4 linked regions of the Saccharomyces cerevisiae S288C genome follow. The protein of the gene in region 4 interacts with the protein of the main gene of each other region in a biochemical or structural test. Each region holds a gene or a part of one and is shown on either strand. Other genes may lie near its edges.

Region 1 (8,166 bases), on a different chromosome or scaffold from region 4:
CCAGTAAACTCACAGCAGGAAATGGGAAACCTGACACGGAGAAGCTTACAGGAGAACTAATTTTAACATACGACGATTTCATTGAACTGATATCTAGCTCAAAGACTATTTATTCGAAGTTTACGGACCATTCGTTCAATTTGAACCAGATACCCAAGAACGTTTTCGGGTGTATTTTCTTCGCTATTGATGAACAAAACAAGGGATATCTGACGCTTAATGATTGGTTTTATTTTAATAATTTATTAGAATATGATAATTATCATCTCATTATTCTATATGAGTTCTTTAGGAAATTTGATGTAGAGAATTTGAAGGCAAAACAAAAAAAAGAGCTTGGTAGTTCGTCGTTTAATTTAAAGGCTGCAGATGATCGAATTAAGTCAATTAATTATGGTAACAGATTTCTAAGCTTTGATGATCTTCTTTTGAATCTGAACCAATTCAAAGATACTATCCGCCTGTTGCACGAATCTATTGATGATAATTTTGTTAAAGATAACAAATTACTACTTGATTGGAATGACTTTCGATTTCTGAAATTTTACAAATGTTATCATGAAAATGAAGAGTATTTGAGTTTAAACTCTCTGGTCACGATTTTACAAAATGATCTTAAGAATGAAAAAATATTTATAGGTTTTGATAGGTTGGCACAGATGGACTCACAAGGGCATCGTTTAGCCCTAAGCAAAAATCAACTCACCTATCTTCTAAGGTTATTTTACTCTCACAGGGTGTCTGCAGATATATTTTCCTCCTTGAATCTATCAAACACCGAATTACTAAAAGCGGACAATAATTCCATTCCGTACAATGTATTCAAGGATATATTTTATTTATTTCAAAATTTTGACCTACTGAACCAAATATTTCACAAGTATGTTACTGAAAATAATTTGAATGAGCAGGATATTAGGGAACAAATAGTTACTAAAAATGACTTTATGACAGTTTTAAACGCCCAGTATAACAAAGTAAACAATATCATTGAGTTCTCTCCTTCCCAAATCAACCTACTATTTTCTATCGTCGCAAATTCAAAGGAAAACAGAAGATTAAGAAAGAGAAATCAAGATCGAGATGACGAGCTATTAAATGATCACCATTATGATTCAGATATTGATTTTTTTATCCATAATGAGTATTTGCATGGAGTAAGCAGATCCAGAAAAAATTTAGAAAGTTTTAATGACTATTATCATGATCTCTCGGATGGATTTGACCAAGACTCTGGTGTTAAAAAAGCTTCAAAAGCGAGTACTGGCTTGTTTGAATCTGTATTTGGAGGTAAAAAAGATAAAGCAACGATGCGTTCTGACTTAACAATTGAAGATTTCATGAAAATTTTGAACCCAAATTACCTGAACGACTTAGTTCACCAAATGGAATTGCAAAAAAATCAAAATGAGTCATTGTATATTAATTACTACTTTTATCCAATTTTCGATTCGTTGTACAATTTCTCCTTGGGTTCTATTGCGGGTTGTATTGGTGCAACTGTAGTATACCCAATAGACTTTATAAAAACAAGGATGCAAGCCCAAAGATCTTTAGCCCAATACAAAAACTCAATTGATTGTTTGTTGAAGATTATATCCCGCGAAGGAATAAAAGGTCTCTACTCTGGCTTAGGGCCACAATTAATAGGAGTTGCTCCTGAAAAGGCGATAAAATTGACTGTCAATGATTTTATGAGAAACAGGTTGACTGATAAAAACGGCAAGCTAAGCCTTTTTCCTGAAATTATTTCTGGCGCTTCAGCTGGTGCATGTCAAGTTATATTTACTAATCCGTTAGAGATTGTAAAAATTAGGCTACAGGTCCAATCCGACTATGTTGGTGAAAACATACAACAAGCCAATGAAACTGCCACTCAAATAGTCAAAAAATTAGGACTGAGGGGCTTGTACAATGGTGTAGCCGCATGTTTAATGAGAGATGTTCCATTCTCTGCTATTTATTTTCCCACTTATGCACATTTAAAAAAAGATCTCTTTGATTTTGATCCAAATGATAAAACAAAGAGGAATCGATTAAAAACATGGGAGCTTTTAACTGCCGGTGCCATTGCTGGTATGCCAGCTGCCTTCTTGACTACTCCTTTTGATGTTATAAAAACAAGGCTCCAGATAGATCCTCGAAAAGGTGAGACAAAGTATAACGGTATATTTCATGCTATCCGAACTATCTTAAAGGAAGAGAGCTTTAGAAGCTTTTTCAAAGGTGGTGGAGCCCGTGTCCTAAGAAGTTCTCCCCAATTTGGGTTCACTCTGGCCGCCTATGAATTATTCAAGGGCTTTATTCCCTCCCCCGATAACAAATTAAAAAGCAGAGAGGGTAGGAAGAGATTTTGTATCGATGACGACGCAGGCAATGAAGAGACAGTAGTTCATAGTAACGGTGAACTCCCACAGCAAAAGTTTTACTCTGATGATAGAAAACATGCCAATTATTACTATAAAAGCTGTCAAATTGCGAAAACATTCATTGATTTGGACAATAACTTTTCTAGGTTTGACTCTTCAGTTTATAAAAACTTTCAAGAGCACCTAAGAAGCATTAACGGGTGATTTATTTTCTTCGTCAGTTTCTCTGTACATATATATGTATATATTTACTTATTATAATTCATAGCAAAATATATGTTTTTTTTTTTTTCTTATAGTGAGAAAAATTACTAATGATCCTGAGATCAATTTCACTGTAGTTTTTACTATAGTGCAACAAGTATGTTGTTCTTAATAAGTGTAATGAAAGCTCTGAGGTCAAGTTTTCTTTTTTACAGAAAAGTTATATTGGCCTATTTCATAAATAACTGGCGGCAAGAAGCTAATGTAATATAACTCGATATCGCTTTTAATGCCATTGTATGTCATGAAAAGAAAATAAATAGAATTGAGATGAATATATATTCTTTTTTCTAGTTTTGTTCTATTTGTACATTGATTTAATTTAATTAACGAATATACAAGGGTTTTGCGAATAGATAGAATTAAAAAGCTTAGTGATGTTTATATCCCACTAATTTTCTTCTTCCAATTATTTCACCGACAGAATAAAACCCTATCAACTGAATACCATATGCGCCATATTTTAATAGTTCATTCTTTTGGATGTTTTTTAAACACGATAAAACTTCTGTAGGCTTTAGAGCAAAGTTTAGGCTCTGCTTATAAAGGTTCGAATACACTGATTTGAACTGGGCAACAGTTGGTGGTTGAAGACCCTCTTTTAAATAAATCTGTTTTGAAATCTCGGCACCGACTTTACCATAGTATAAAGCCTTTGATGACAAAAGATTTGCTTTAGAAACCAACCCACTGGTATAATTTTGGATCCTGCTTAGCATGATGAATTGATTAGCGTTCTGAAATATGATTTATCGGCAGGTTTATCTTGTCGATTTGGACTGGAGTAGAAAATATGAGGGATCTTTGCATCTTCATTTTTCGGTCTTTAAATGTAATCATCCTTCGGGATAAATTTAGTGCGTTTAACAATATTTTCTTTCAGCCAATCAGGAATAAGAAAAAAGCCGCCCACTCAATCGAGCCTACATACAGTATTGAATAGTGTTACAAAGCATAAGGATGTAAAAAATACAAACTTGCTATAATTAATTAGTATTTATTAATTGTTACGCAGGGAATGATTGTAGTAGACAGCATCAGACACGGTTATTCAGGCGAACTGATCTCCTTACACCCTCGCCAAGGACAATGACCTTGTCCTCTTGTTGCAATCTTGACAAGGCTTCCTGGATATCAGAAGACTCAACTCTATCTTGAGAGTGTTCATTGATTTGTTTTATAAGCTCATTGAATGACATTGAGTCTGATGCCTGATCCTTCAAAACATTCATAATTTCCCTTGACAAATCCTCCTGTAGTTTTCTCTGAATAACTGATTTACCTGTTTGAACTAAATTCATGTCGATTTTACCGGTTTTAGGGTCTGTTGCATAATCTTTTATGGCTGATCTAATTAATCTAACGGCTTCTTGAACATCCTCCAGCTCTACGACGTTTTTCAATTTCATTTTGGCGTGCGCCTCAGCCAAACGAATCATACTTTCAAGTTGTCTTGTGGTAGCTGTGATTCTCTTCTCATCGGATCTCGAATCGTCACCCATCTTTCTCATTCCTACATAAGCACGAACAAGCTCAGTCTTAGCGGCCTCGGTGATTATTGGGTGTATGTGCTCCTTTGCATAACTAATATACATCGTTAAAAATTCAACTGGTAGCACGTCGTCTTGAGAAATATGTTCGGGCTTATCTTCCAGGTAAAGATTTGTTAAGTGTTTGGCTAGTTCTCTGTCATTTTTCTCATCAACCTTATCAAGGACAAGATAGACCAGATCGAATCTCGAAAGTAGTGGGGGCGGTAGATCAATATTTTCAGTCACAGGCAAATTGGGGTTGTAGCGTGAACCAATTGGGTTAGCACTGGCCAAAATAGAACTTCTGGCATTAAGTGTTGTGATAATTCCCGCTTTTGCGATTGAAATAGTCTGCTGTTCCATGACTTCGTGCAAGACGGACCTTGTAGAATCACTCATTTTATCAAACTCGTCAATACAACAAACACCTCCATCAGACAATACTAATGCACCACTTTCCAAAACAAGTTGTTTTGTGTCGACATCCCTTGTAATATAAGCAGTTAAACCAACGGCAGATGAACCTTTACCCGAAGTATACACACCACGAGGAGTAATTTTGTGAACGTATTGCAAAATTTGCGATTTGGAAGTAGAAGGATCCCCACAAAGTAAAATATTTATGTCACCTCTATAACGGCCACCCTTGGTAAAGGTTTTATTCGTGCCGCCAAATAGCTGAAGTAATATACCCTTCTTGACATCTTCTAGCTCGTAAATACTTGGGGCAATAGAGCGGGCTAATAAACTGTATAAATCTTCTCTTGCCGCAACCTCGCGAATTTTTGCTAAATCCTGATCAGTAATTTGTCTTACTTCTTCGACCTCGTTATGATCTACCTTGTTCTGCATTAATTCTTGTTCAATAGTAGAAGTATCGACGTCTAACCTCTTATCTGAAACTTTTTTAACGTGGACCACATCGACGTATGTTTTATACAACGACTTTAGTACGCGTTGCCTGGAATTAGCTCTAATGGGGATGGACCTGAACGTGCCAGTCACCTCAATACGATCGCCCGCCCTGCAAGAATCCACTAATTCATCGTAAACACATAATGAGATAGAGTGAGGCGTTTGTCCATCAGGCACAAAGTCTGGAGTTTCCTGTAACTTAATGACTTGTTTATCTGCGAATGAACACCTGTTGTGAATCAGTGACATGGAATTGGGTTCATTACAATCAATACGTTCACACCTAGCGGGCTCTTGTATAACTCCTCTATCAATTTCCACTGCCATTGTATGATCGCAGACGTTGCATTTGAAAAACGCTACCTTCATATCAGGGATAACCGGAGTTGATCTCAGGACAAGACCCTTTAAGTTTATCAATTTATCAATATCATTTGGATTCAATTCGCGCATACCTTTACAAGAACCTACATTGTAAGGCCTTACTTTATAAAACTTGGTCTCTATTTCATCTAAATCGTAATCCAAATTGTTGTCTACTATTAAGGAAACCATACAGTCCTTGATAGTTTGATCCATGATAGAAATCACTTCTTGAGGATAATTTAATAGTTGATGGTATAAGTCTTCTGTTTGCTTGTAAGCAAGTAAGTTTCTAGCATCCAAGTTTAAATTAGAGGTACCAAGTTCTCTCATTTCATTAAGCTGCTTGATATAGTATAGTTCTTCGTCGGTAGTATTGTTAATGAATTCCTCCCTTTCATCCAATATTTTACGGAATTTATACTTGAAAGACATCAAAAAATTACGAAAATTAGTTGTACATTCCTGGATACTGACGTTGGTACCCCAAATTATTCTCAAGGGTTCACTGGCTTCCGATGGAGGAGCAGAAGAAGAAGAAGTATCCAAAGTATTCACGCCGGATCTAGTATCAAAATCCACAATTCTTCTTGGAGAGGATAAATCAGATGTATGAATATCATTTCTTCGCATGTGTACACGGTTTTGACCATTACGGCCTAAAGAAGAGGAAGAAGTAGGCAGTGCTCTATCACTTCTCAGATCAGAATGATATCTAGACCTTCCAGAAGCGCTCGCAGAAGAACGAATTCTGCCCTGTCTGCCTTGAGATTGGAAAACATCGGAATTTTGTCTTTGGGAAGAAGATGGAAAATTTAGTGGAGAAGAACCTATAGCAGCTCTGATGTTTCCCTCTCCCTGACTTAAGTTCTGGCTATTGTTGCGACCATAGATATCACCTTGTGATGAAGAGGAGCTATAAAATAGAGCTGGGGAAGAAAGCTGTGGTGGAACAGAATCAGGATTAGGCACAACGGGGGAGCTGGAGTTATTATCCTCTTTTGTTGGAGAGCTAGACTGTTGAGACATTTTAAGTTCTTGAGGTTCAAAAGGATCCTAAGTTGGGCTCTACCAAGAGTAAAAATAACTGAAGATGGGTTGTCTTATTTAGTATTGAAGATGTTCTTAAAGAAATAAACAGTGCCAATGCGAAGTTGCTCTTCTGGTCTCTTCTTCTCTTTTCATTTTCGAGGCGGCGAACTAGCATTAAATTTCCCGAAAGAGTAAACCAAGTGTTTGCGTTTTCATGAATCTACTCGTAATATTCCAAAAAGAAGTGATATAAAACATGCAGTTGGCTGACACAGATAAATGTAGTTCAGCTTATATAGAAGATTTTCTTTTGTTGCATGCGAGAAGTGCTGGATTTTATTCAAAGTCCAAAAGGCTTGACTGTCGATCGTAGTGTTGTCGCCTTTTTCATGTATACCAATAAATAATCAGTTTATCTGTATGTTTCTATATACTAAAGATCCGTTCAAGTTACAAAGACGGGGTTGGCATATTTGCATTGGCTCGAAGATTCTCCCAGTTTTGTGCGTCTTTGATTACCCATTTGCGGGGCAAATCACCCTTTCCAGAACTTCTTATGGCATATTCCTTTATGGTGTTTTTAATTGTTTGTTTGTTGTATTGCGGCAAATTTTTCTGTGCTATTTCAGTCACAGTACCCAAAGAAAACGTGCTGTCTTGAACCCCATCAAAAAGTCGAAGTAAGTCCATGGGGTCTGTAATCATTGCTTTTTGTTTCTTTTCGGGACTTTGAGATTGGCTAGCGGTCTGTGCCTGTAAGTCGGAATTACTTCTTTTGGATGGTAGAGACGATGTTTTGGGTTCTTTGAATGGATCGATTGGCCCGTCGGTTTCTATGATAACTTCGGCCTTGAGTTGTTGTAAGTATCGTTTATTTTCCTCTGATAAGTTTTCAAAATTGGATTTTAGGCATATTGTTGGTATCAATGGGCCTACAAATTTTCTCTTGGCGCAGGGTAGGCCATCCAAATCACTGTTTTCTTCGCTGTCTAGAAACCCGTCAAACTCTCCTTCGCTAGGTACGTCTTCATCATCTTCCTCCTCCTCCTCCTCTTCACCACTTTCTAAGTTATCGACTTCGCCTTCTTCTTCTTCATTAACCCATTCAACGTCAGAATCGTAATCATAATTGAATCCAGTACCTTTCGTAGAAAAGGGATCGTTTGGTGGCAAAGTAAAGTCCATAGAATAGGTTCCGATAAACGGAGGTCTAACATTTTCGTAGAATTTTATATATTTGTGCGGAACTTGTGCAAGTAAAGATTGGAGCTCATCGTCTGTTTTCTCCTTCAAAGGCATTTGCTGTAGAACGTCAACAGCTTTACGTTTAATTTTATGTCCTCTAGGTAATCTTCTAGACTGTAACCAATTCAATAAGTCGTCACTACTTGTTTTATCTTTACTGTTCAGTAATTCATCATCTATTTTTCTTTTGCTACCTTCCAGCTCCACTTTTGTTAGTTTCCACTTATTACTGACTCTAACTCCATCTTTAGCATAGAAAGGTAGAAAAAATTTTTCATAATCCGACTTTTCAACCACAGGCGTATTAGAATCGCTTAGTTTTTTAAAGAAGTTACCAATACGGGATTGTGCTCTTTCCTTGGCTTCTTCTTTCAAACGTATTTCCTCCTCCTTTTTCAATCTTTCCTCCTCTTTTCTTCTTTTGGCTTCTAATCTGGCTTCTTCCT
Region 2 (8,365 bases), on a different chromosome or scaffold from region 4:
GTCGTTATCAGCCGCCCCTATCCCGTCATCAGAGGGGCTAAAGAATGAGGGGAAATGCGGGTATACCACTTGTTTCAGTCTGGAATTAATCTCCACCACATCTCGCTTTAGTGTTTGCAGCACAGTCTCGTCGAGCGTCCCTCTGCTGCCTGAATTCTGCATAGTTCCGCCTATGTTGTCAGCAACACCCCCGGAAGCAGCCAAAGGTGCATCTGGTTCTATGAAGTCGGGCTCAATCGTAGTGTCTTCTCTTCCGTATGACATTTTGCCTGCCCTCTTGTGACATATCTTTCTACAAATATTGCTAAAACAGCTTCATTTGCTATTGTAAAAGGGGACGAAAAATCACTGTGAGAAAATCATCACTCCGGGTAATCCAATTTTCATGAAAAAAGACGCGAGGAAAGTCAGAAAAGTCGTGCAAAACAGCCTGAGAGATCGGGTCGCTTAAACATTTTGACACGAAACTTATAATGAAATAAAAAGCTATACTTGGTGAAACTGCAATCTTAATAGTATCCCTCCGCACAAAAATACACACGCATAAGGATGGCCTCATTTGCTACTAAGTTTGTCATTGCTTGCTTCCTGTTCTTCTCGGCGTCCGCCCATAATGTCCTTCTTCCAGCTTATGGCCGTAGATGCTTCTTCGAAGACTTGAGTAAGGGTGACGAGCTCTCCATTTCGTTCCAGTTCGGTGATAGAAACCCTCAATCCAGTAGCCAGCTGACTGGTGACTTTATCATCTACGGGCCGGAAAGACATGAAGTTTTGAAAACGGTTAGGGACACGTCGCACGGTGAAATCACATTGTCTGCTCCATACAAGGGACATTTCCAATACTGTTTCTTGAACGAGAACACCGGTATCGAGACAAAAGACGTGACTTTCAACATTCATGGGGTGGTATATGTGGATTTGGACGACCCAAACACCAATACATTGGATAGTGCTGTCAGAAAGTTGTCCAAATTAACCAGGGAAGTCAAGGACGAACAAAGTTATATTGTTATTAGAGAAAGGACGCATAGAAATACTGCAGAGTCGACCAACGATCGTGTTAAATGGTGGTCCATCTTCCAATTGGGCGTCGTTATTGCAAACTCTCTTTTCCAGATATACTACTTGAGAAGATTCTTTGAGGTCACATCTCTAGTCTAAGTAAAGCAGGAAAATGTAGTTCATATCTATTTACTTTTGCCTACATACGATTACATACACGATTGGATAACCTGAAGTCGCGAATAATTCTCGGTTTCATACTTTTTACCTTGATCCTTCCACTGTTTTTCCCTGTGCCAATTACATGTAAATAAATATATACATATATATGGTCCAGGCGCGCCATAAAACAAATACAGGTTGTAGCGAATCAAAAAATGGGAAATACATACGAAAAACTTGAAAGAAACAAGTACCACAGGACATGCTGTGGTCCGTTTTTCCCCAGAGCACTTTTATGTGGGACTCTTAGAAGGGAAATAGCTCTGTTCATATAGAACAAAAAAAGAATAGCCCTGTAGGGGGCTCGAACCCCTAACCTTATGATTAAGAGTCATACGCGCTACCGATTGCGCCAACAAGGCTAATTCGTTGGAAAACGTCCCCATTTCAGGGAAACATAGCTCACGATGTTAATAACTGATTTGTAGCCGAGCCACATTGTATCAACGCGTGATTAACACATGTTTGGAATATACTGTTGGAACAAGAATCAACTAGTGCTCATATTAGCAATATATTACTATATACGGTGTAAGAAGATGTCCACTATAGTCAGCCATATTCTTGATCTTACGAAAGGGAACTGTGATGTAAAATTTGTGACACTGTGACACCTTCTAGTGAAATATAGGGCATTACCAAAGTCACTAATGAGTAAAAATACCAATTACTGTCCGTAGTTCGTCAGATTAGAATCCACTATATTTTCTTTGATTGGGAGTTAACGCTGCATACTTGTCTTGGGTACTGCGTTAACCATAAATCACATAAGCGTCATTCATTATCGTACCTCTGGGTAAGTGTTTTTCAGGAGTTTTTATATATAATATGCTGGCCCCCAAGGCGGATGAGGACTGTATACGGTTTTGACGTTAAAGTGTTATATGAATCGCAGTCGCATACACTAGTGGACCCCTAGTTCCGCGATACGTAGTTGACCCTCAGTACAGAGATTCCCACGATTAACGGGTGTACTGCTCCTGACTAATGTAATTTTGAGTTCACCTGTTGATGTGGTGCTGATACTGGCACCAGTACTAATGTTTGGAAGAACTCCGTAGCATTAAGTGGAGAGATTAATCCGATACTGAGCTGAATAGTTGGTTTCACTCCCGCAAAAAGATATCAATACAGTTTGCTAACAACTTGGGAAACCCTGATGAGAAGAATTAGCGGTCATCCTGAGAAATAGGTGACCATTTAAATGGTCACTTGAATTCGATTTTCCAGTAAGGGAAGTGTCATTCGGAATCCAGAATATACCAGAAATAAGCAATTTTGCATGATAGTGCTGTTATCCTTTCTTGTGTTTTATACGATATCATACATCACCCCATTACGTTATTTATCTTGCATTTCAGTTTTTACTGGGTTTACCCTTTTCGCGATTTATATCATATTATCACCGCACATAATATACTAGTAACATTACTATTCGTCGACAAACAATAGCTTGTTTTGATTCCAGTTCTCATAACATTTGTGTACCTATTCTTTTGCCGTTCCTTCGCTATTTGGTATTGTCATCTAAGTTCGTCTATTAAATTTCCTTTTTAGGAAAAGCGCCTAATAGGCCTTTCTTGAAGCTTTTTTTTTTTCTTTCTTTAATCTACAATAATAACAAAATATTTCATTCTTAAGTGATTTACAGCGAGTATCTTACACTTCGCCACCGGTGGATAGGAAAAATAGACTTACCAAAGGTTAAAACTGGTTTTTTTCAATGTCATCCCCTTTTCCAGCTGACACACCAAGCAGTAATAGACCTTCCAACTCCTCTCCGCCACCATCGTCGATAGGTGCTGGCTTCGGAAGCAGTAGCGGACTCGATTCGCAAATAGGCTCTAGGTTACATTTCCCAAGTTCTTCTCAACCGCATGTCAGTAATTCACAAACAGGCCCTTTTGTTAACGATTCCACTCAGTTTAGTTCTCAAAGGTTGCAAACCGATGGTTCCGCGACTAATGATATGGAGGGAAATGAACCTGCCAGAAGCTTCAAAAGTAGAGCTTTGAATCACGTTAAGAAAGTTGATGACGTTACTGGTGAAAAAGTCCGTGAAGCGTTCGAGCAGTTTTTGGAAGACTTTTCCGTTCAATCCACTGATACTGGTGAAGTTGAAAAAGTTTATAGAGCTCAAATTGAATTTATGAAAATATATGACCTAAACACCATTTATATAGATTATCAGCATTTATCCATGAGAGAAAATGGTGCTCTAGCTATGGCTATCTCAGAACAATATTACAGATTTTTGCCTTTTTTACAAAAGGGTTTAAGAAGAGTAGTAAGAAAGTATGCACCTGAATTGTTAAACACAAGTGACTCATTGAAGAGATCCGAAGGTGACGAAGGTCAAGCGGATGAAGATGAGCAACAGGACGATGATATGAATGGGTCGAGTCTACCAAGAGATTCTGGATCATCAGCCGCACCAGGGAATGGGACATCTGCCATGGCAACGAGGTCAATAACAACTTCTACGTCACCTGAACAGACGGAACGTGTTTTTCAAATCAGTTTCTTCAATCTACCAACAGTTCACAGAATTCGTGATATAAGATCTGAAAAGATTGGTTCACTATTGAGTATATCAGGGACAGTGACAAGAACATCTGAGGTCCGTCCAGAATTATACAAGGCAAGCTTTACGTGTGATATGTGCCGTGCTATCGTAGATAACGTAGAACAGTCCTTCAAGTACACTGAACCGACATTTTGCCCGAACCCATCATGCGAAAATAGAGCCTTTTGGACATTAAATGTTACAAGATCCAGGTTTCTTGATTGGCAAAAAGTCAGAATTCAAGAAAATGCTAACGAAATACCTACAGGCTCCATGCCGCGTACGCTGGACGTCATTCTTCGAGGTGATAGTGTCGAAAGAGCCAAGCCAGGTGACCGTTGCAAATTTACGGGTGTGGAAATTGTAGTACCTGATGTTACACAATTGGGGCTACCAGGTGTGAAGCCAAGTTCAACATTAGATACTAGAGGTATTTCGAAGACTACTGAAGGTTTGAATAGTGGTGTTACTGGTTTACGCTCTCTTGGTGTTCGTGATTTGACATACAAGATTAGCTTTCTGGCATGCCATGTTATCAGTATTGGATCAAACATTGGTGCAAGTAGCCCTGATGCAAATTCTAACAACCGAGAAACTGAACTACAGATGGCTGCTAATTTACAAGCTAATAATGTATACCAAGATAATGAAAGAGATCAAGAAGTATTCTTGAACAGTTTGAGTTCAGATGAAATAAATGAGCTGAAGGAAATGGTAAAGGATGAACATATTTATGATAAATTGGTCAGATCTATTGCTCCAGCTGTGTTTGGCCATGAAGCCGTAAAGAAGGGTATCTTGCTTCAGATGCTCGGTGGTGTTCATAAGAGTACTGTAGAAGGTATTAAGTTAAGAGGAGATATCAACATCTGTGTTGTTGGTGATCCCTCTACTTCTAAGTCTCAATTTTTAAAATACGTAGTGGGATTTGCACCAAGATCAGTTTACACTTCCGGTAAGGCCTCGTCGGCTGCTGGTTTAACAGCTGCGGTTGTGAGAGATGAGGAAGGAGGTGATTATACAATTGAAGCAGGTGCTTTAATGCTTGCTGATAACGGTATTTGTTGTATCGATGAATTTGATAAAATGGATATTTCAGATCAAGTTGCCATTCATGAAGCTATGGAACAACAGACCATCTCTATTGCTAAAGCTGGTATTCACGCTACTTTAAATGCAAGAACATCAATTCTAGCGGCTGCCAACCCGGTAGGTGGAAGATACAATAGGAAACTATCACTGAGGGGTAATTTAAATATGACCGCACCGATCATGTCCAGATTTGATTTATTTTTTGTTATTCTTGATGACTGTAACGAAAAAATTGATACCGAATTGGCATCTCATATCGTTGACTTACACATGAAAAGAGACGAAGCCATTGAGCCGCCATTTAGTGCAGAACAACTACGTCGTTATATCAAATATGCACGTACTTTTAAACCAATATTAACGAAAGAAGCCCGTTCCTATTTAGTCGAGAAGTATAAGGAACTGAGAAAGGATGATGCCCAGGGATTTAGTAGATCGAGTTATAGAATCACAGTTAGGCAACTTGAAAGTATGATTAGATTATCAGAAGCTATTGCGAGGGCTAATTGTGTCGATGAAATTACTCCATCATTCATTGCAGAAGCTTACGATCTTTTAAGGCAAAGTATTATTCGTGTTGATGTGGATGATGTGGAAATGGATGAAGAATTTGATAACATAGAGAGTCAAAGTCACGCCGCTTCTGGAAACAATGATGACAATGATGATGGGACTGGGTCAGGTGTAATTACGAGTGAGCCACCAGCAGATATAGAAGAAGGACAAAGCGAAGCTACAGCTCGTCCAGGTACAAGCGAGAAGAAGAAAACAACGGTGACGTATGATAAATATGTGTCCATGATGAACATGATCGTTAGAAAGATTGCTGAAGTAGATAGGGAGGGTGCAGAAGAACTAACAGCTGTGGATATAGTTGATTGGTATTTATTACAGAAGGAAAATGATTTGGGTTCGTTAGCAGAATATTGGGAAGAGAGAAGATTAGCGTTCAAAGTCATAAAAAGGTTGGTCAAAGATAGGATTTTAATGGAGATTCATGGTACCAGACACAATTTAAGAGATCTTGAGAATGAGGAAAATGAAAATAATAAAACTGTTTATGTTATTCATCCAAACTGTGAGGTTTTGGATCAATTGGAACCACAGGATTCCAGCTAATTCAGTGCACTCTTGCGGATTTTCATATTTCGTTTCAAGTATCGTTCACGTTGTAAATTCCTATCGTGTGCATTTCTCTTTGTGGGAGAAAAATATCTTACATAACTTGGCTCTCAAATCAAGTTATAATTGTTGTATAAAGTTGTACTCTTAATGAAAAAACAAAATATTATATTTTGGCTTCCACTTGCAGTCTTTTACAAAAAGAAAAAATACTTCGAAATTTAAGCAATACAAAAATACGTACGTCCTTTTTTCACCTTATATATATTCTTCCAACGTATTTACCTCTCTATTTGGAAATACCAAATTCTTCGTATAAAGTATCACCTAATCTCTTCAGACCTTCAGTCAGTTTCTCAGGAGAGACAGCTGCATAGGTACCTCTGAAGAAAATTATGTTTGGATTACTGACTTCTTTAGATTCAGCGGGTTGAGGAGGTTCCGTCTCACCCTCACTCTTGAACCAAGAACCGGGAACCACTAAAACACCACGTTCAACCACTTTGTGGTAAAGACTCTGTTCTAGCTGGTAAGGGTCTGAGTTGTATTTTGTTTTAAACTCAGGGTGGACAGATGCGTCAATGTTCACGGTGAAAAACATACCTGCAATTGGAGGATTGATCACGAAAGCATCAGATTGTGGTAGATACTTGTAAAGGGCATCGATGGCACAGTCACGTTTCAAAGTGTATTCATGACGCAGGCCAAGCAACCAGTCCAAGTAACCCTTTTGACCCCACCTGGATAGCGTAGCGTTGACCAAAACTTGTGTAAAACCTGCTGGGGCTTGAATCGTCATTTCATGCAAACTCAAGTAAGGCTTCAAGATTTTGGATGAACCAGTAATCCAACCCAATCTTGTCCCTGGGGCCAAAACTTTTGAAAAGGAATCCATTCTAATAACACGGCCTTCTGTATCCAAGGAAAGGAAAGTGTTTGCCAAGGACTTCAAAAATTCGTCATGGTCCTGCTTTGGAGAACTTTGTGCCTTCTCTCTTTCCTTCAAGTCTTTGATGTAGGGATTCATTTGTAAGAAATAATAAGGTTCATCTTCCACAATTAGGAAGTCGTACTTTTGAGCGATCTTGTAAATTGCCTCCTTTCTATGGTCTGCAATGGAAGTACCAGTTGGATTTTGGCCCGTTGGAATAGTGTATAACAACTTTGGTTTAGGAGCACCAGGTGTCCAGTTTTCCATGACTTTAGCTAATTTTTCAGGAATGATACCATCAGCGTCAATTGGCACGGGGAAGGTAATGACACCTTGAGCCTCTGCAGAAGCCAATGAAGAGGAAAAAGAATGTGCCTCAACTAAGATGACATCACCTCGGTTACAAAAGACTCTTAAAGTAGATTCCCAGGCATTTGTGTTACCTGCAGTGGCTAAAACGTCCCAGTCCTTATACTTCAAATCGTGGATAATCTTGGTATGATCTCTAATGAAGTTTAATAGTTCAGGTTGACCAGCACTGAACCCGTATTGCAAAGCTCTTGACAAAGGAATATCGTTGGAAGGATTGGCACTTTTATCAGCGTAATCTTTGTTGACGGTGTATTTTATGCAATTCTGCTCGTCAATTGGAGCTCCAATACCCTGGGGAAAAGGAGGCTTGGGTGAATCTACAGATAGATTATCCCATGGGAAATAATCTTTTAATGGCAGGCCACCACCCAAAAAGATAATGTTAGGATCTTGGAAAAGATGGATGCAGGTTTTCAATGGGGATGGTTTACGAGCATTGGTTTCATCCGAAAACAAGTAAGAAAAGTCTTTTGATTCAGGTAAAGTCATGATAGTAACGATCGGTTGTCCTATTCAATGTCTGTATCAACTGCAGGGTTTAACTTAGTGGAATGGAAAAATAAGAAAAAGAAATAAGTTCTTAAAGATATAACCAAACCAAATATATAGTCTAGAGATGTGTATAGGAGGGTCTACAAGATAAGAAAAAAGATTGCGATACACATATCTTCAAATGAAATGCGCTTAATATTAGTCATAGATTGGACCTCGAGAAAGTGAAAAAGTGCAGAGTGAAAAATGTGATAAAAAAAGGAAAAAAAGACATCTAAGGTAACCCGGATGTTCTTCATTATTCCGGCGCAATTTAGTACTGTTCTTCTATCAATGGCAATTCAGAAGCCAGATTCTTGAATGAGGTGAAGGAGAACAATGGTTATAGGTTAATTAAGAGATTTTTGGATGGTGTATATGAGCCATGTTTAATCTTGGAAAAATAGTGAACCGGGAAAAAAATAAAGAAGAACTCCTCATAGGGGGCTCGAACCCCTGACATTTCGGTATCCTTGCTTAAGCAAATGCGCTTAAAAGCCGAACGCTCTACCAACTGAGCTAACAAG
Region 3 (7,843 bases), on a different chromosome or scaffold from region 4:
AATGAATGACACTGTAGCAGACTCCATTATTGCTATACTTATGAATGTGGATTCAGCTCCCGCCAGTGTCAAGCTTTCGAGTCATTCTTGTGATGATCATGATCATAACAATGTGCAGTCTAATGCACAAGGTAAGATTGATGAAGTTGAGAGGGTGAAGCAAATCTCAAGGTTGTTTAAAGAACAGTTTGGTGACTGTTTTACTTTATTTCTCAATAAAGATGAATATGCAAGTAATAAAGAGGAAACTATAACTGGAGTGGTTACCATAGGTAAAAGCACTGCTAAGATTGACTTCAACAATATGAAAATTTTAGAATGTAATTCAAATCCTTTGAAAGGTAGGGTGGAAAGCCTCTTAAATATTGGTGGTAATTTGGTCACACCGCTATGTTAAAAACAGTTACGCATACTAAGTAGACTACTTTATAGAAGTAATACCAAACCAAAATCTGGTTAGAACTGCCTTTTATTGTTTACCTTAATCACTCTTTACGTAATGAAACCTAGAGATGAAATTTTAAAAATTTTTTTTCACGAACATAAAGAATAACTCTTCTAGACCATCTCATCTCATCTCATCTCATCTCATTTCATTTCGATTCTTCTAATTTCTTTCATTGAGTAAGAGCCTTTTGTTTTGGCTGATAGTTATAGTCAATCTACAATTTATCTCACAAAAGAAATAGACTAAGCCAAAACTGCAACGAAAGATCAAAAAAATGAGCTATGAGAAAAAGTCTGTGGAAGGCGCTTATATTGACGATTCTACAACGTTCGAAGCATTTCATCTCGACTCTCGTTTATTACAAGCTATTAAGAATATAGGATTTCAGTACCCAACATTAATTCAATCACATGCTATTCCTTTGGCTTTACAACAGAAGAGAGATATTATAGCAAAGGCCGCTACAGGTTCCGGAAAAACTTTGGCATACCTCATTCCTGTAATTGAAACTATCCTAGAATATAAAAAAACAATTGATAACGGAGAGGAAAATGGTACACTAGGTATTATACTTGTTCCAACAAGAGAACTGGCTCAACAAGTATATAATGTTTTAGAAAAACTAGTCTTATATTGTTCAAAAGATATAAGAACTCTGAACATATCATCCGATATGTCTGACTCAGTTTTGAGCACTCTACTTATGGATCAACCAGAAATCATAGTTGGTACACCTGGTAAATTATTGGATTTGTTGCAAACAAAGATTAATTCTATCTCATTGAACGAACTAAAATTTTTAGTAGTTGATGAGGTGGATTTAGTGTTAACATTTGGTTATCAAGATGATTTAAACAAAATTGGAGAGTACTTACCATTGAAAAAAAATTTACAAACATTTTTGATGAGTGCAACCCTAAATGACGATATACAGGCTTTGAAACAAAAATTTTGTCGTTCTCCAGCTATTCTTAAATTCAATGACGAGGAAATAAATAAGAACCAAAACAAATTACTTCAATATTACGTTAAAGTCAGTGAATTTGACAAATTCTTACTATGCTATGTCATTTTTAAACTTAACTTAATCAAGGGTAAAACATTAATTTTTGTAAATAATATTGACAGAGGATATAGGCTCAAGCTAGTTATGGAACAATTTGGTATCAAGTCCTGTATTTTAAACAGCGAGCTACCCGTTAATTCGAGGCAACATATTGTTGACCAATTCAATAAAAACGTTTACCAACTATTGATTGCCACAGATGACACCGAGTACATAAAAGAGGAAGATGACGAAATAGAAGAAGGGCACAATACAGAAAATCAAGAAGAAAAAAGCTTGGAAGGCGAGCCTGAGAACGATAAGAAACCAAGCAAGAAAAAGAAGGTCCAAGTGAAGAAAGATAAGGAATATGGTGTTTCTCGTGGTGTTGATTTCAAAAATGTTGCATGTGTCCTCAATTTCGATTTACCTACGACGGCTAAGTCCTACGTGCATAGAGTAGGTAGAACTGCTCGTGGCGGAAAGACCGGTACTGCAATTTCATTCGTAGTCCCACTGAAAGAATTTGGTAAGCATAAGCCATCAATGCTACAGACAGCAAAGAAGGATGAAAGGATTCTTTCACGAATCATCAAACAACAGAGCAAACTTGGATTAGAATTACAGCCTTACAAATTCGATCAAAAGCAGGTCGAGGCGTTCCGTTACAGAATGGAAGACGGTTTCCGTGCTGTTACTCAAGTTGCCATTAGAGAAGCTAGGGTCAAAGAGTTGAAACAAGAACTATTGGCAAGTGAGAAGTTGAAAAGACATTTTGAGGAGAATCCAAAAGAGCTACAAAGTTTAAGACACGATAAAGAATTACATCCAGCAAGAGTGCAACAGCATTTAAAGCGTGTTCCAGATTACTTGCTTCCTGAATCAGCCAGAGGAAATGGAACCAAAGTCAAGTTTGTTCCTTTCCACAATGCTAAGAAGCGCCATTCACATAAAAAGGGAAGAGTCAGTAAGCCAAAGAATGGTAAAGTAGACCCGTTGAAGAACTTCAAATGATTAATAATATTGATATTTATTCTATATTTTATGTAAAAATCTACTTATTAAAAATGCTCTTTAGTTAAATGTGATAATATAGATGCTTTATTCGTTTTCTTGAATATAATACTTTCGCAAGAGCTAGAAAATCAGCCAATAATAATTGGTCTTACTTCCAAAATAAAAAAAGGCTTTCCGCTGACTGTAAAGTTTCTTACGATGATTTGCTTTCCTTGTTGATTGAGGGCTGCTTGTCTTACTTTTTACTCAACAGGGGTTTTTAACACAACGATAACTGAATCACCTCTTAAGAATAGTTTACTTATGAATCTTTCCCGATTAATTACATTTTTGCCCTTCTTCTCTGTCCAAAGCTCCTTCACATTTTCTAAAACCATATTACAATGCCTGTCGAAAGCTTTCACTCTCGCTATTATTTTATGATTGTTTCTTAATGAGATTATCACAGGTGTTCTTGTCACCATAGCATCATTTATCAGGGACATTGGACCATGTTTGAATTCAAATTCTTCTAGTTCCTCTAATTCTGCTCTAGAGAGTTCATGTTTTGGACGATCAATTATTTGTGAACTGGAAAGATACAAATCAATTACTTTTAAGTTAGTATATAAAAATTCACTCCAAATTATAGGATGTAAAAATGGTTAAGATCAAACATACGACATGATAAAACGGTTTTATAATACTCCTCTAATCAACTGTCAAAGGCGGGGCAAACGTGATGGCGCTTGCTATTAAGAATGATGATGTTCTAGTGATGATGTTCTTGTCATACCTTTTGAGTAAGATAATTTTCATTTGGTAGTATTACCCGTAGTAATATCACGATAGGACAAATTGGTCCCCATAAAGTCACTTCAAGAGCTCATGTACTGTAGGATTGTTCAGTGGTAAATCGACCTCTATTTTCTAATTTCTTTCGTATGTCTTTGATTTCAATTTCTTTTTTAAGAAGCTTTGAATTATTTTGATTGACGGTCATATCAAGTCTGTGCGTTTATTATACAAAAAGAATATGAGACGCAGATGAAACCTCAAAAAGTATAATTTCGTTTACAGAATTTATATAGAAATATAATAATGAAGTATTTGTAGCGAATTTTTTAGATTCATTACATGCAAACAAGTAGAAAAGGCGTCAAGCTAAGACTTTATTGTTGTCATACACCACTTCTGTAAATATTCTGTCCCTGGTGTCTCAATTGAATTGTTTCATGCTTCTCTAGGGCATATAAGGCCTTATCCAGTGCTAATTGAGAAAATCTATGTGTATCTACAAATTCTCTCCTCAAAGTTTGATAAGAAGTAGACCAGCCTATAGGTAATCTTCTTTTTAGTTCTTGTTCAAAACGACGGATTTCTGACAAAGATGTTCCGCTTGCTTGATTTAAGCCGCCAATTGGATCCTGAGACGCTGCGTCCATTGTGGAAGCTTGAAACAATCTAATAGCTTCGTCAACATGTCTCTCCTGTGCAATAGGACTTAATTCTAACTTGGCTAATGATTCTGTTATTCTAATAATAGCTTCTAATTGACGAATGGTAATTGGAATAGACGACCTTTCCGTTGACTCTAATTCGTTGATTAATAATTGCTTCCTAATGGTGACGAAGTTCGATGACAGTTTTTCAGCGGCCTGCGGTGAAAGTCTTGGTGCACATTTCAATCTACAATACGTAATGTAACGTTTCATCTTTTCAATACTAATTTCACTGCCATTTTCCTCTTGTTGGTTTTGCATAGCATTAGCATTTCCTGTATGAATATTAATAACGTGGTTAGCTATTGAAATATCACGTTCTTCATTATGGTCATCCTTAACAATAAAAATCATATCAAAACGGGATAAAATAGTAGTTTGGAAATCAATGTTGTCACCAGGAGACTTCAAATCATCATACCGGCCGTATATCGGATTAGCAGCCGCTAAAACACTAGTTCTAGAATTTAGCACTGTAGTGATACCAGCTTTTGCGATGGAGATTGTTTGCTGCTCCATAGCTTCATGAATGGCCACTCTATCTTCATCTCTCATTTTATCGAATTCATCGATGCATACAACACCACCATCGGCAAGCACCATAGCACCACCTTCCAAATAAAATTCTCTTGTCATCGGATCTCTTTGTACACTGGCAGTTAACCCAGCTGCAGAAGATCCCTTACCAGATGTATATACCGCAATAGGTGACACTTTCTCCACAAATTTCAATAGTTGAGATTTGGCGGTACCTGGATCACCTAATAATAGTACATTGATATCACCTCTTAACCTCATACCATCGGGTAATATCTTCTTGGAACCACCCATCAATAAACATACAATGGCTTTTTTTATATCTTCATTACCAAAAATAGAGGGGGCAATAGAGTTGGTCAAAATTTCATAAAGCTTCGGGTTTCTACTTAGCTGTAGAAATTCCTCTTCTTCCTCCTCAGTAAACATAGTTACTGAATTCCAAATAGAGGAGGTTTCTACATCGGACTGAATACCTAATATTTTGATATAAGGTGTTCTAATAGCAACACCACTTCCTCCATTTCCACCCCCGCTCCTTCCGGATCCGGCACCATTTTTAGAATTATAGATGGAATAAATACCTACTATAGTGACTCTCGTACCAGGAATAACTTTGTTTGTTAGGTATCGGTCACAAGTCATTGTTAAGTTTCTAGGCATCTCACCTACTGGAACCAGTTCTGGGATTTCCTGTAATTTTAAAAACTGTTGATCAATAAACTTTGAAGACTCATGGATAATAATATATGGATCAGGTCCACAATTTTTCTTGGTCGATTCATCACCAATATTCGACTCGTTTGCCATAGAAGATTCACTCTCAATCGTAGATAAGCAAGAACGTGGTAAACTGACGGTATTGCCTGTGATAGAATTGAAATTGTTGATTGTTATTGATGTTGTGTGTCTGCAATTTCTGCACATTATAGAAAGGTACGTGGCACGGGAAGATAAAACTGACGTGGATATTATAATACCTGATAAACGGACAATCTTGGAGACGTGTTCAGAATCCAAATCTCTCAATGGAATCTGATTTGCATTGGAGTTTAAAATTAATTGAAATGTTGGTAAAGAGTTCAATAAGAGAGAATCAGTATCCATACTAGTATTTTCTGGATCTTTGTCATTGTTATTAGCAGATTGAGCTCTGCTTAGAATACTTATCCTTTTAGCCACTTGTGTGATCGCGGTTTCGAATAATGGAATGATATCTGAAGGTTCGTCTGATAGTTTCTTATATATGTCTTCGTTATATCCGATCAAATGCTCCATGTTAACCGTTAAAGAATAATTCTTCACAAGGATGTTGTTCCTTAACTGATCTCTGTAAATAAATTGCGAGTCAAGTCTGAACTCCAAAATGAAATTCTTAAAGGACTTTATGATTTCAGTATTATCATCGTCGTTAGGAGATTCTCCTTGTAAAACAGGAGCACTGTATATTTCCGGTCTATCAAATGACATTATCTGGCTTCTAATTCACCAAGGAGATACTCTTAGGTTGTTCTGATAAAACGTTTAATCACGTTAACAAGTATATTCATGTTCTTTCAATAAGTTGAAAAAATTCTTCGAGATTTCGCGAAACTGCAAGTAATCACTTTTCCTAAAAGGGAAACACGCCACACACCGCATAGCAACAAACTAAATGGCTTAACCTGGGAGTGAAGAGGAGGAGAAGAAAATTAAAGGCTGGCATAGGCGGCTTAGAATAAACTGATTTGAATCAATTGTTACGTTTTTGATATTGACAGTTTACTGCTGTTAGTTTGACTGCTCTATTACGCGTTTATTTGTTTTACATCCAGAGATAAGCGGGTAGAATAAAGGGCTCTTATTCACTAAATCTGGGGTAAGCAGTTTGGAATTTAATTGAATTTTTTACTAAGTCTGGAGTATAATCTGACAAATAAAGGCCGTATAATACTTCTATGCTCGTTTCTTTGACGCTTGTTATAAGGTCAATAATTTTACTCTTTGTTTTTACAAATGCCTTACAGCCATGGTAAGAAGCTTAAACCGTCTTTGAAACTCGCAAAAACAATCTCCACTTCTTCTTTTGTTTCCTCAACAACCTCTAATTCATTTTCACCACTAGAAGACTCTACATCTGCATCTTCGTCGACATCATCTTCATCATCAGGGAAATCGGTAAGGTTTGCTGCACATTTATACACAGTCAAAAAGTTCAACACAAAATTGGCGCCTATCTCGATATCAGAAAAAGCCGCTTCAAATCTTACAAGAAATTTGCATAACAATGCCATTCCACTAACGTTCCCCTTCATTGGAGGTGAAGATCATCGTTATAGTTTAGACATTTTAGATTACAGTGATTTAGAATATGACAATAAGGATGTTGAGTATGACAACGAGAGTGACGTAGAGGATAATGCAATGCTTATGCATGATCGTAGCATGTTCATTGAAAAGGAGATTCTCTGCTTTGGTGAAGAGGAGACATTCGATATGGCAGATTGGAAACTGGTCAGTAATAATTTGAATCCATTCAAAAGTGACTATAAAGTGGACGTTACTGGGTTGGAAGACAAGATTTTCAAATACTTAAATGGACAAAATATAAAGGTTCATTCATTAGAACTATCTGATCCTGTAAGCTACGAGGATATTTGTAGCAATAATTTTGGTAACTGTCAAATCTGGGGCCTTATATTTGTCAATAATTTGAACTTCGAGAAAAAAATAGAGATAAAATTTACTTTAAATAACTGGGCAGATATTCACTATATTAATGCACACTACAACAAGTCTGTCACCCCTCATGTTGACGAATTCAAATTTATTATTGATATATCTGCGTTGAAGTTAAATCTAATATCAAAAAACTTGATTTACACTAACTTTTTTGAAAGGAAAACTACTTGTCTCCTGAATTTGCAGTTCTGTTGTCGTTATGATGTAAATGGTTTCGAATATAGATCATTTTACGATAATAATGACTATAAAAACTATGAAATAACGATCTCTTTGTCAGCAATAAATCTAAATCGTGCGGTTTCGAATTCATCGATATTTAATTCCAATCTTGGGCCTTCCAAAATGGGGGCTAGCAATGCAGAGGTTACTATGTCGAAAAATAATGAAAATTCTAAAAAGCCTCTCAGAAAATTCATTAAAGATACAGATTACTACAACGACTCCCCGTTAAAGCACAAATTTTATCAATCGTTTGAAACAAAAGCGGCTTGTAAAACCGAACCTGTATCCCAAACTTTCAAAGCTGAAACAATTGATTGTGAAATTGAACCATTTAATTATTTCTTTGAACCGCCTGATTCCCAAACTAAT
Region 4 (7,241 bases):
ACATGTTGAGAAAGAAAGAGCCTCAACTGAACTGTCACAGTCTAGGATCAAAATCAAATCTTTGGAGTACGAGATTTCCAAACTGAAAAAGGAAACTGCCAGCTTTATACCCACGAAAGAATCTTTAACTAGAGATTTCGAACAATGCTGCAAAGAAAAAAAAGAATTGCAGATGAGACTAAAGGAGTCTGAAATCAGTCATAATGAAAATAAAATGGATTTTAGCTCGAAAGAGGGCCAATACAAAGCCAAAATCAAAGAATTGGAAAACAATTTGGAAAGATTACGTTCCGACTTACAATCAAAGATACAAGAAATAGAATCGATACGCTCATGCAAGGATTCGCAACTCAAATGGGCTCAAAATACCATCGATGATACAGAAATGAAAATGAAGTCCTTACTAACTGAATTATCAAATAAGGAAACAACGATTGAAAAACTTTCATCAGAAATAGAGAACCTGGATAAGGAACTAAGAAAAACCAAATTCCAATATAAATTCTTGGATCAAAATAGTGATGCAAGCACGTTAGAACCGACTTTGAGAAAAGAATTAGAGCAAATCCAAGTTCAATTGAAGGATGCAAACTCACAGATACAGGCTTATGAAGAAATTATATCATCGAATGAAAATGCGCTAATAGAATTGAAAAATGAACTAGCAAAAACCAAAGAAAATTACGATGCTAAGATTGAACTAGAGAAGAAGGAAAAATGGGCGAGGGAAGAAGATCTATCTCGTTTACGCGGAGAGCTCGGTGAAATAAGAGCTTTGCAACCGAAACTAAAAGAAGGTGCATTGCATTTCGTTCAACAATCAGAAAAGTTGAGGAATGAGGTAGAAAGGATCCAAAAAATGATAGAAAAAATTGAAAAAATGAGTACGATTGTCCAACTGTGCAAAAAAAAAGAAATGTCCCAATATCAGTCCACAATGAAGGAAAATAAAGATCTATCTGAATTGGTTATCCGCCTTGAAAAGGATGCGGCTGATTGCCAAGCAGAATTAACAAAAACCAAATCCTCATTGTATAGCGCTCAGGATTTACTCGATAAACATGAAAGGAAATGGATGGAGGAAAAGGCTGATTATGAAAGAGAATTGATATCTAATATTGAACAGACGGAATCCTTGCGTGTTGAAAATTCGGTATTGATTGAAAAGGTTGATGACACAGCAGCAAATAATGGCGATAAAGATCATTTGAAGCTAGTTTCTTTGTTTTCAAACTTACGTCATGAAAGAAATTCTTTAGAGACGAAGTTAACCACCTGTAAGAGAGAATTGGCATTCGTTAAACAAAAGAACGATAGTTTAGAAAAAACGATAAATGACCTGCAACGAACCCAGACTTTATCGGAGAAGGAATACCAATGCTCTGCAGTTATTATTGACGAATTCAAGGATATCACGAAAGAAGTTACTCAAGTTAACATTTTAAAAGAGAATAATGCCATCTTACAAAAGAGTCTCAAAAACGTAACCGAAAAAAACAGGGAAATTTATAAACAATTAAATGATAGGCAAGAAGAAATTTCTCGATTACAGCGTGATCTCATACAAACAAAAGAACAAGTTTCGATAAATTCTAACAAAATTTTAGTATATGAAAGTGAAATGGAGCAATGTAAACAGAGGTACCAGGACTTATCTCAACAACAAAAAGATGCCCAAAAAAAAGACATTGAAAAGCTAACTAATGAGATTAGTGATTTGAAGGGAAAACTTTCAAGCGCTGAGAACGCAAACGCTGACTTGGAAAATAAATTCAATAGGCTAAAGAAGCAGGCTCATGAAAAATTGGACGCATCTAAGAAACAACAAGCTGCTTTAACTAACGAACTCAACGAATTAAAAGCAATTAAAGACAAATTAGAACAAGATCTACACTTTGAAAACGCTAAAGTTATTGATCTAGATACGAAGCTCAAAGCACATGAACTCCAATCAGAAGACGTCTCGAGAGATCACGAAAAGGACACTTATCGGACATTAATGGAGGAAATTGAATCACTCAAAAAGGAGTTACAAATTTTCAAAACTGCGAATAGCTCATCTGATGCATTTGAGAAATTGAAAGTTAACATGGAGAAAGAAAAGGACAGAATTATTGACGAAAGAACGAAGGAATTTGAAAAAAAATTACAAGAGACCTTAAATAAGAGTACAAGCTCAGAAGCAGAATACAGTAAAGATATCGAAACATTGAAAAAGGAATGGCTAAAGGAATATGAAGATGAAACGTTAAGGAGAATTAAGGAAGCAGAAGAGAATTTAAAGAAAAGAATAAGGTTACCAAGCGAGGAAAGGATACAAAAGATCATTAGTAAGCGTAAAGAAGAATTAGAAGAAGAATTTCGAAAGAAATTGAAAGAAAACGCGGGAAGCTTAACGTTTCTTGATAACAAAGGTAGCGGGGAAGATGCCGAAGAAGAATTATGGAACAGTCCATCGAAGGGGAATTCTGAGAGGCCGTCGGCTGTCGCTGGCTTTATAAATCAAAAAAACCTTAAACCTCAAGAACAATTGAAGAATGTGAAGAATGACGTTTCCTTCAATGACAGCCAGTCAATGGTTACAAATAAAGAAAATAATATCGTGGATAGTAGCGCTGCTGGTAACAAGGCCATTCCAACCTTTAGTTTTGGTAAGCCATTCTTCTCCTCTAATACATCATCTCTTCAAAGTTTTCAGAACCCATTCACAGCATCCCAATCTAATATCAATACGAATGCCCCCCTACGTACACTCAATATTCAACCTGAAGTTGCAGTCAAAGCGGCGATTAACTTTTCCAACGTAACCGATCTAACTAACAATAGCACCGATGGAGCAAAAATAACAGAAATTGGAAGTACATCTAAACGGCCAATTGAGAGCGGTACATCTTCTGATCCAGACACCAAAAAGGTTAAAGAGAGTCCAGCAAATGATCAAGCTTCCAACGAGTGATGTAATATTAAACAATGTAATTATATAAATATGAAACATCTACATATTTTAAATGTCACTAATGTCATTACAGAGGACATAAAGTGATTTATGACACATCCGTACTAGTAGTTAAGTATGAACAAATTTTGGGTTTATTTGCCATTTTTTTTCACGCGGGTTTCTTGGATGCGCAAACCCACCTTTTCTAACACCACTAAGAAATATCAACTTTATAGGCCATCGAAGATAAAGGAACGTAAGTTTGTCAATTCAACCTCACATTTTCAACGCACATTAAGCACTTGGTTCGTGGAGAAATGAATGATCCTCGTGAAATTTTAGCGGTTGATCCGTACAATAATATTACTTCTGATGAAGAGGATGAGCAAGCCATCGCGAGAGAACTTGAATTTATGGAACGAAAGAGGCAGGCCTTAGTGGAACGATTAAAAAGAAAGCAAGAATTTAAGAAACCCCAGGATCCTAATTTTGAAGCCATCGAGGTACCTCAATCTCCTACCAAAAACCGTGTGAAAGTGGGGTCTCATAATGCTACACAACAAGGCACAAAATTCGAAGGTTCGAATATTAATGAAGTAAGGTTATCTCAATTACAGCAGCAACCAAAACCACCAGCTAGTACAACCACATACTTTATGGAGAAATTTCAAAACGCAAAGAAGAACGAAGATAAACAAATTGCCAAGTTTGAAAGCATGATGAATGCAAGAGTACATACGTTCAGTACCGATGAGAAGAAATATGTGCCGATAATCACAAACGAATTAGAAAGCTTTTCAAATCTTTGGGTTAAAAAGAGGTACATACCTGAAGATGACTTAAAACGGGCTTTGCATGAGATCAAAATCCTTCGGTTGGGCAAACTTTTTGCTAAAATTCGCCCACCTAAATTTCAAGAGCCTGAATACGCCAACTGGGCCACCGTAGGCCTCATTAGCCACAAATCGGACATCAAATTTACATCATCTGAAAAGCCAGTCAAATTCTTCATGTTCACCATAACGGACTTTCAGCATACACTAGATGTTTATATCTTCGGGAAAAAGGGTGTAGAAAGATATTATAATCTTCGCCTGGGTGATGTGATAGCAATATTAAACCCAGAAGTACTACCATGGAGACCCTCAGGGCGAGGAAATTTTATCAAATCCTTCAACCTTCGAATTAGTCATGACTTCAAATGTATCCTGGAGATAGGTTCAAGTAGAGATTTAGGTTGGTGTCCCATAGTGAATAAAAAGACTCACAAAAAATGTGGCTCTCCCATTAACATATCTCTTCATAAGTGTTGCGATTACCATAGAGAAGTGCAATTTCGTGGAACAAGTGCTAAAAGAATTGAATTAAATGGTGGGTACGCCTTGGGCGCGCCTACGAAAGTGGACTCTCAACCAAGCCTATATAAGGCCAAAGGGGAAAACGGGTTTAATATAATCAAAGGTACTCGTAAGCGCCTGTCAGAAGAGGAGGAAAGACTTAAAAAGAGCTCTCACAATTTTACGAATAGTAATTCTGCCAAAGCATTTTTCGACGAGAAATTTCAGAATCCAGATATGCTGGCAAACTTAGACAATAAAAGAAGGAAAATAATAGAAACTAAGAAATCGACAGCACTGAGCCGCGAACTAGGCAAAATTATGAGAAGGAGGGAATCCAGCGGATTAGAAGATAAGAGCGTCGGAGAGCGACAGAAAATGAAACGAACCACAGAAAGTGCCCTCCAGACAGGGCTTATCCAACGCCTAGGATTCGATCCCACTCATGGAAAAATTTCCCAAGTACTCAAGTCTTCTGTATCAGGGAGCGAACCTAAGAACAACTTACTCGGTAAAAAAAAAACTGTTATAAACGATCTCTTGCATTACAAGAAGGAAAAAGTCATTCTCGCACCTTCAAAGAACGAATGGTTCAAGAAAAGAAGCCATCGCGAAGAAGTTTGGCAAAAACATTTCGGATCCAAGGAAACTAAAGAAACTTCTGACGGTAGTGCCAGCGATCTTGAGATAATATAAATAAGTATTGGTGTGCTTTTCAGGGCCCCAAAATGGTATTACTTTTGATGGACAATGGCGCGGGTAATGATTGAAAAATTATGATGAAAAATTGAGTGATTTTGGTTGCAATATAGGGAATCAATCCTTAAAGTGAGAAAGAACAGAAGAGAACATCTTGTGAGACACAAAACGCTCCGAAAACATCTCCCTCTTGGGCGCATCCTTCATTCTGTACTCTTTACTTCACTTTACAGTCGTTTTTGGCCGATCTTTGGCAGCATCTAACGTTATTTTTAGGTTCAATACATAACAACAAGACCACGGATATCGCATAATATGGTTGACCTAATGGTGCCGGCGAATGATGACCCTAGTAATGAAACTGATTATTCTAGATCCAACAACAACCACACTCATATTGTGAGCGATATGCGCCCGACCTCCGCCGCATTTCTTCATCAAAAGCGACATAGTTCTTCGTCGCACAATGATACACCAGAGTCGTCGTTCGCTAAAAGAAGGGTGCCTGGAATTGTAGATCCCGTAGGGAAAGGATTTATAGATGGAATAACTAATAGCCAGATCTCTGCACAAAACACACCCTCCAAAACTGATGATGCATCTAGAAGACCGAGCATCTCTCGCAAAGTTATGGAATCGACACCACAAGTTAAGACCAGTTCTATTCCAACAATGGATGTTCCTAAATCTCCATATTATGTGAATAGAACTATGCTTGCTCGAAATATGAAGGTTGTTTCTAGAGACACTTATGAAGATAACGCAAATCCACAAATGAGAGCTGACGAGCCATTAGTCGCTTCAAATGGTATTTATAGCAATTCGCAACCCCAAAGCCAAGTAACTTTATCCGATATTAGAAGAGCTCCTGTAGTTGCTGCTTCACCCCCGCCGATGATAAGGCAACTTCCTTCGGCGCAGCCAAATCAGACGTTTATTAAAAAACTGCAGGAAATTTATAAAATCATAGTGGTGCAGGAAACCGAGTTACAACAAAGATGCCTTTATTTAACCACCTCTCAAACCACAGAACTAAAAAGTTTGTGGGCAATATACAGACTGAACACAGAACTGATCAAAAATTACATCAATTTCATCATCACTGCATTATTAACTACACAACCTATAAACGACTTGATTATGGGCCAAGAAATTTTGGATATTTACAGAATAGAAAAAAGATTGTGGGTTTATGGTATAATAACCTTCTTGGATGTACTAAAGAACTTTTCGAACTTTATGGACCCAGAGGTATGTTGTCAGTTTATTATATACGCTTTCATCTCTGTCTCAAATATGCTTGAGGATATACCGTTGAAATATTCTATTTTGTGGAGACAAAGATTGGGTGATTTGTCTAGAATGGCAATATCGCTGTACCCATCAGGATTCATAGATTGGAGGCTAAGCGCCGAATATTGGTATACCGAATCAATGAAATACATATATGGGTGCGGAAAACTATATTATCATATTGCCACAGTTCAACAGAACAGTTTAGAAGCGTTCGTAAACTTGGGAAAAAGTGTTTTTTGTCAGGATCCCTTCACTCCGTCTCAGCAAACGTTACAGTTATTGATTGAAAATATCTATCAATCTGCATTCATAGATAGAAGTTCTGGTAGTGCGAACAATAATGAAATTGCCCATAGAAATTCTCAATTAATTGATTATTTAAAGCATACTGAAGTAATGCTATTACCTAGTTTCCTGGAGAATATGGATTTACAGCATGTTGTGCTTATGTACTTCAAAGACAAGTTTGGTAAAGATTTTAACGGAAATGACGTTTTCGATACAAAAGACATGTTTTGCCAAAATCCAGAATCATTGCGTTATTATTTTAGGCATGCCCCTGCATTTGCTGAATCTCAGCTTTTACAGCTAATCGGATTTGGCAATCCTAAAAACCCATTTGCATTATTGTTTCAGTTGCCTAAGTATTTGAAATTAAAGAAGGATAAAAGAGAAAAAAAGAGATCCGAAGCAACAGAAACATCTTCCTATACAGATCCATTCGATGTTCAAATAAGTTCAGAAAGCTACTTCCAGAATATCGATGCTTTAAATTCAAGTTTCAATGATATCCCAACCAATCTCAATATTTGGCTGGATTCTTTGAATCATATCAACATGACGTCAATACAATGCAGTATACATGTATTAACAAAATTTCTTCATGCACCATTAGTGGTTGCCTTACCGCACTTTTTGACGTGGTTACATTTTATAGTTGCTATTTTGAAAAAATTAGAAATGGTAAATTC

What was found.
Region 1: the proteins of MCM10 (region 4) and MCM4 form a complex in vitro, tested with the Saccharomyces cerevisiae proteins (3 studies listed by BioGRID).
Region 2: the proteins of MCM10 (region 4) and MCM6 form a complex in vitro, tested with the Saccharomyces cerevisiae proteins (4 studies listed by BioGRID).
Region 3: the proteins of MCM10 (region 4) and MCM5 form a complex in vitro, tested with the Saccharomyces cerevisiae proteins (3 studies listed by BioGRID).

What each region holds. Positions count from the first base shown.
Region 1 is NC_001148.4:595,056-603,221, reverse strand, and holds MCM4 (MCM DNA helicase complex subunit MCM4), read right to left. Parts: upstream 6,473-8,166; coding exon 3,671-6,472; downstream 1-3,670. Other genes in the region: AGC1 (citrin), read left to right, coding at 1-2,573; ATP20 (F1F0 ATP synthase subunit g), read right to left, coding at 3,005-3,352; RLF2 (Rlf2p), read right to left, coding at 6,926-8,166. UniProt on the Saccharomyces cerevisiae protein: Acts as a component of the MCM2-7 complex (MCM complex) which is the putative replicative helicase essential for 'once per cell cycle' DNA replication initiation and elongation in eukaryotic cells.
Region 2 is NC_001139.9:115,490-123,854, reverse strand, and holds MCM6 (MCM DNA helicase complex subunit MCM6), read left to right. Parts: upstream 1-2,947; coding exon 2,948-6,001; downstream 6,002-8,365. Other genes in the region: YIP4 (Yip4p), read right to left, coding at 1-264; EMP24 (Emp24p), read left to right, coding at 550-1,161; ARO8 (bifunctional 2-aminoadipate transaminase/aromatic-amino-acid:2-oxoglutarate transaminase), read right to left, coding at 6,294-7,796. UniProt on the Saccharomyces cerevisiae protein: Acts as a component of the MCM2-7 complex (MCM complex) which is the putative replicative helicase essential for 'once per cell cycle' DNA replication initiation and elongation in eukaryotic cells.
Region 3 is NC_001144.5:689,710-697,552, reverse strand, and holds MCM5 (MCM DNA helicase complex subunit MCM5), read right to left. Parts: upstream 5,999-7,843; coding exon 3,671-5,998; downstream 1-3,670. Other genes in the region: cleavage polyadenylation factor subunit YSH1, read left to right, coding at 1-397; DBP9 (ATP-dependent DNA/RNA helicase), read left to right, coding at 723-2,507; mRNA splicing protein SMD2, read right to left, coding at 2,753-3,080, 3,171-3,175; protein phosphatase regulator PIG1, read left to right, coding at 6,524-7,843. UniProt on the Saccharomyces cerevisiae protein: Acts as a component of the MCM2-7 complex (MCM complex) which is the putative replicative helicase essential for 'once per cell cycle' DNA replication initiation and elongation in eukaryotic cells.
Region 4 is NC_001141.2:58,743-65,983, reverse strand, and holds MCM10 (Mcm10p), read left to right. Parts: upstream 1-3,255; coding exon 3,256-4,971; downstream 4,972-7,241. Other genes in the region: MLP2 (Mlp2p), read left to right, coding at 1-2,956; ESL1 (Esl1p), read left to right, coding at 5,290-7,241. UniProt on the Saccharomyces cerevisiae protein: Required for DNA synthesis. Required for entry into or completion of S phase. Involved in DNA replication and seems to participate in the activation of the pre-replication complex (pre-RC) and in transcription elongation.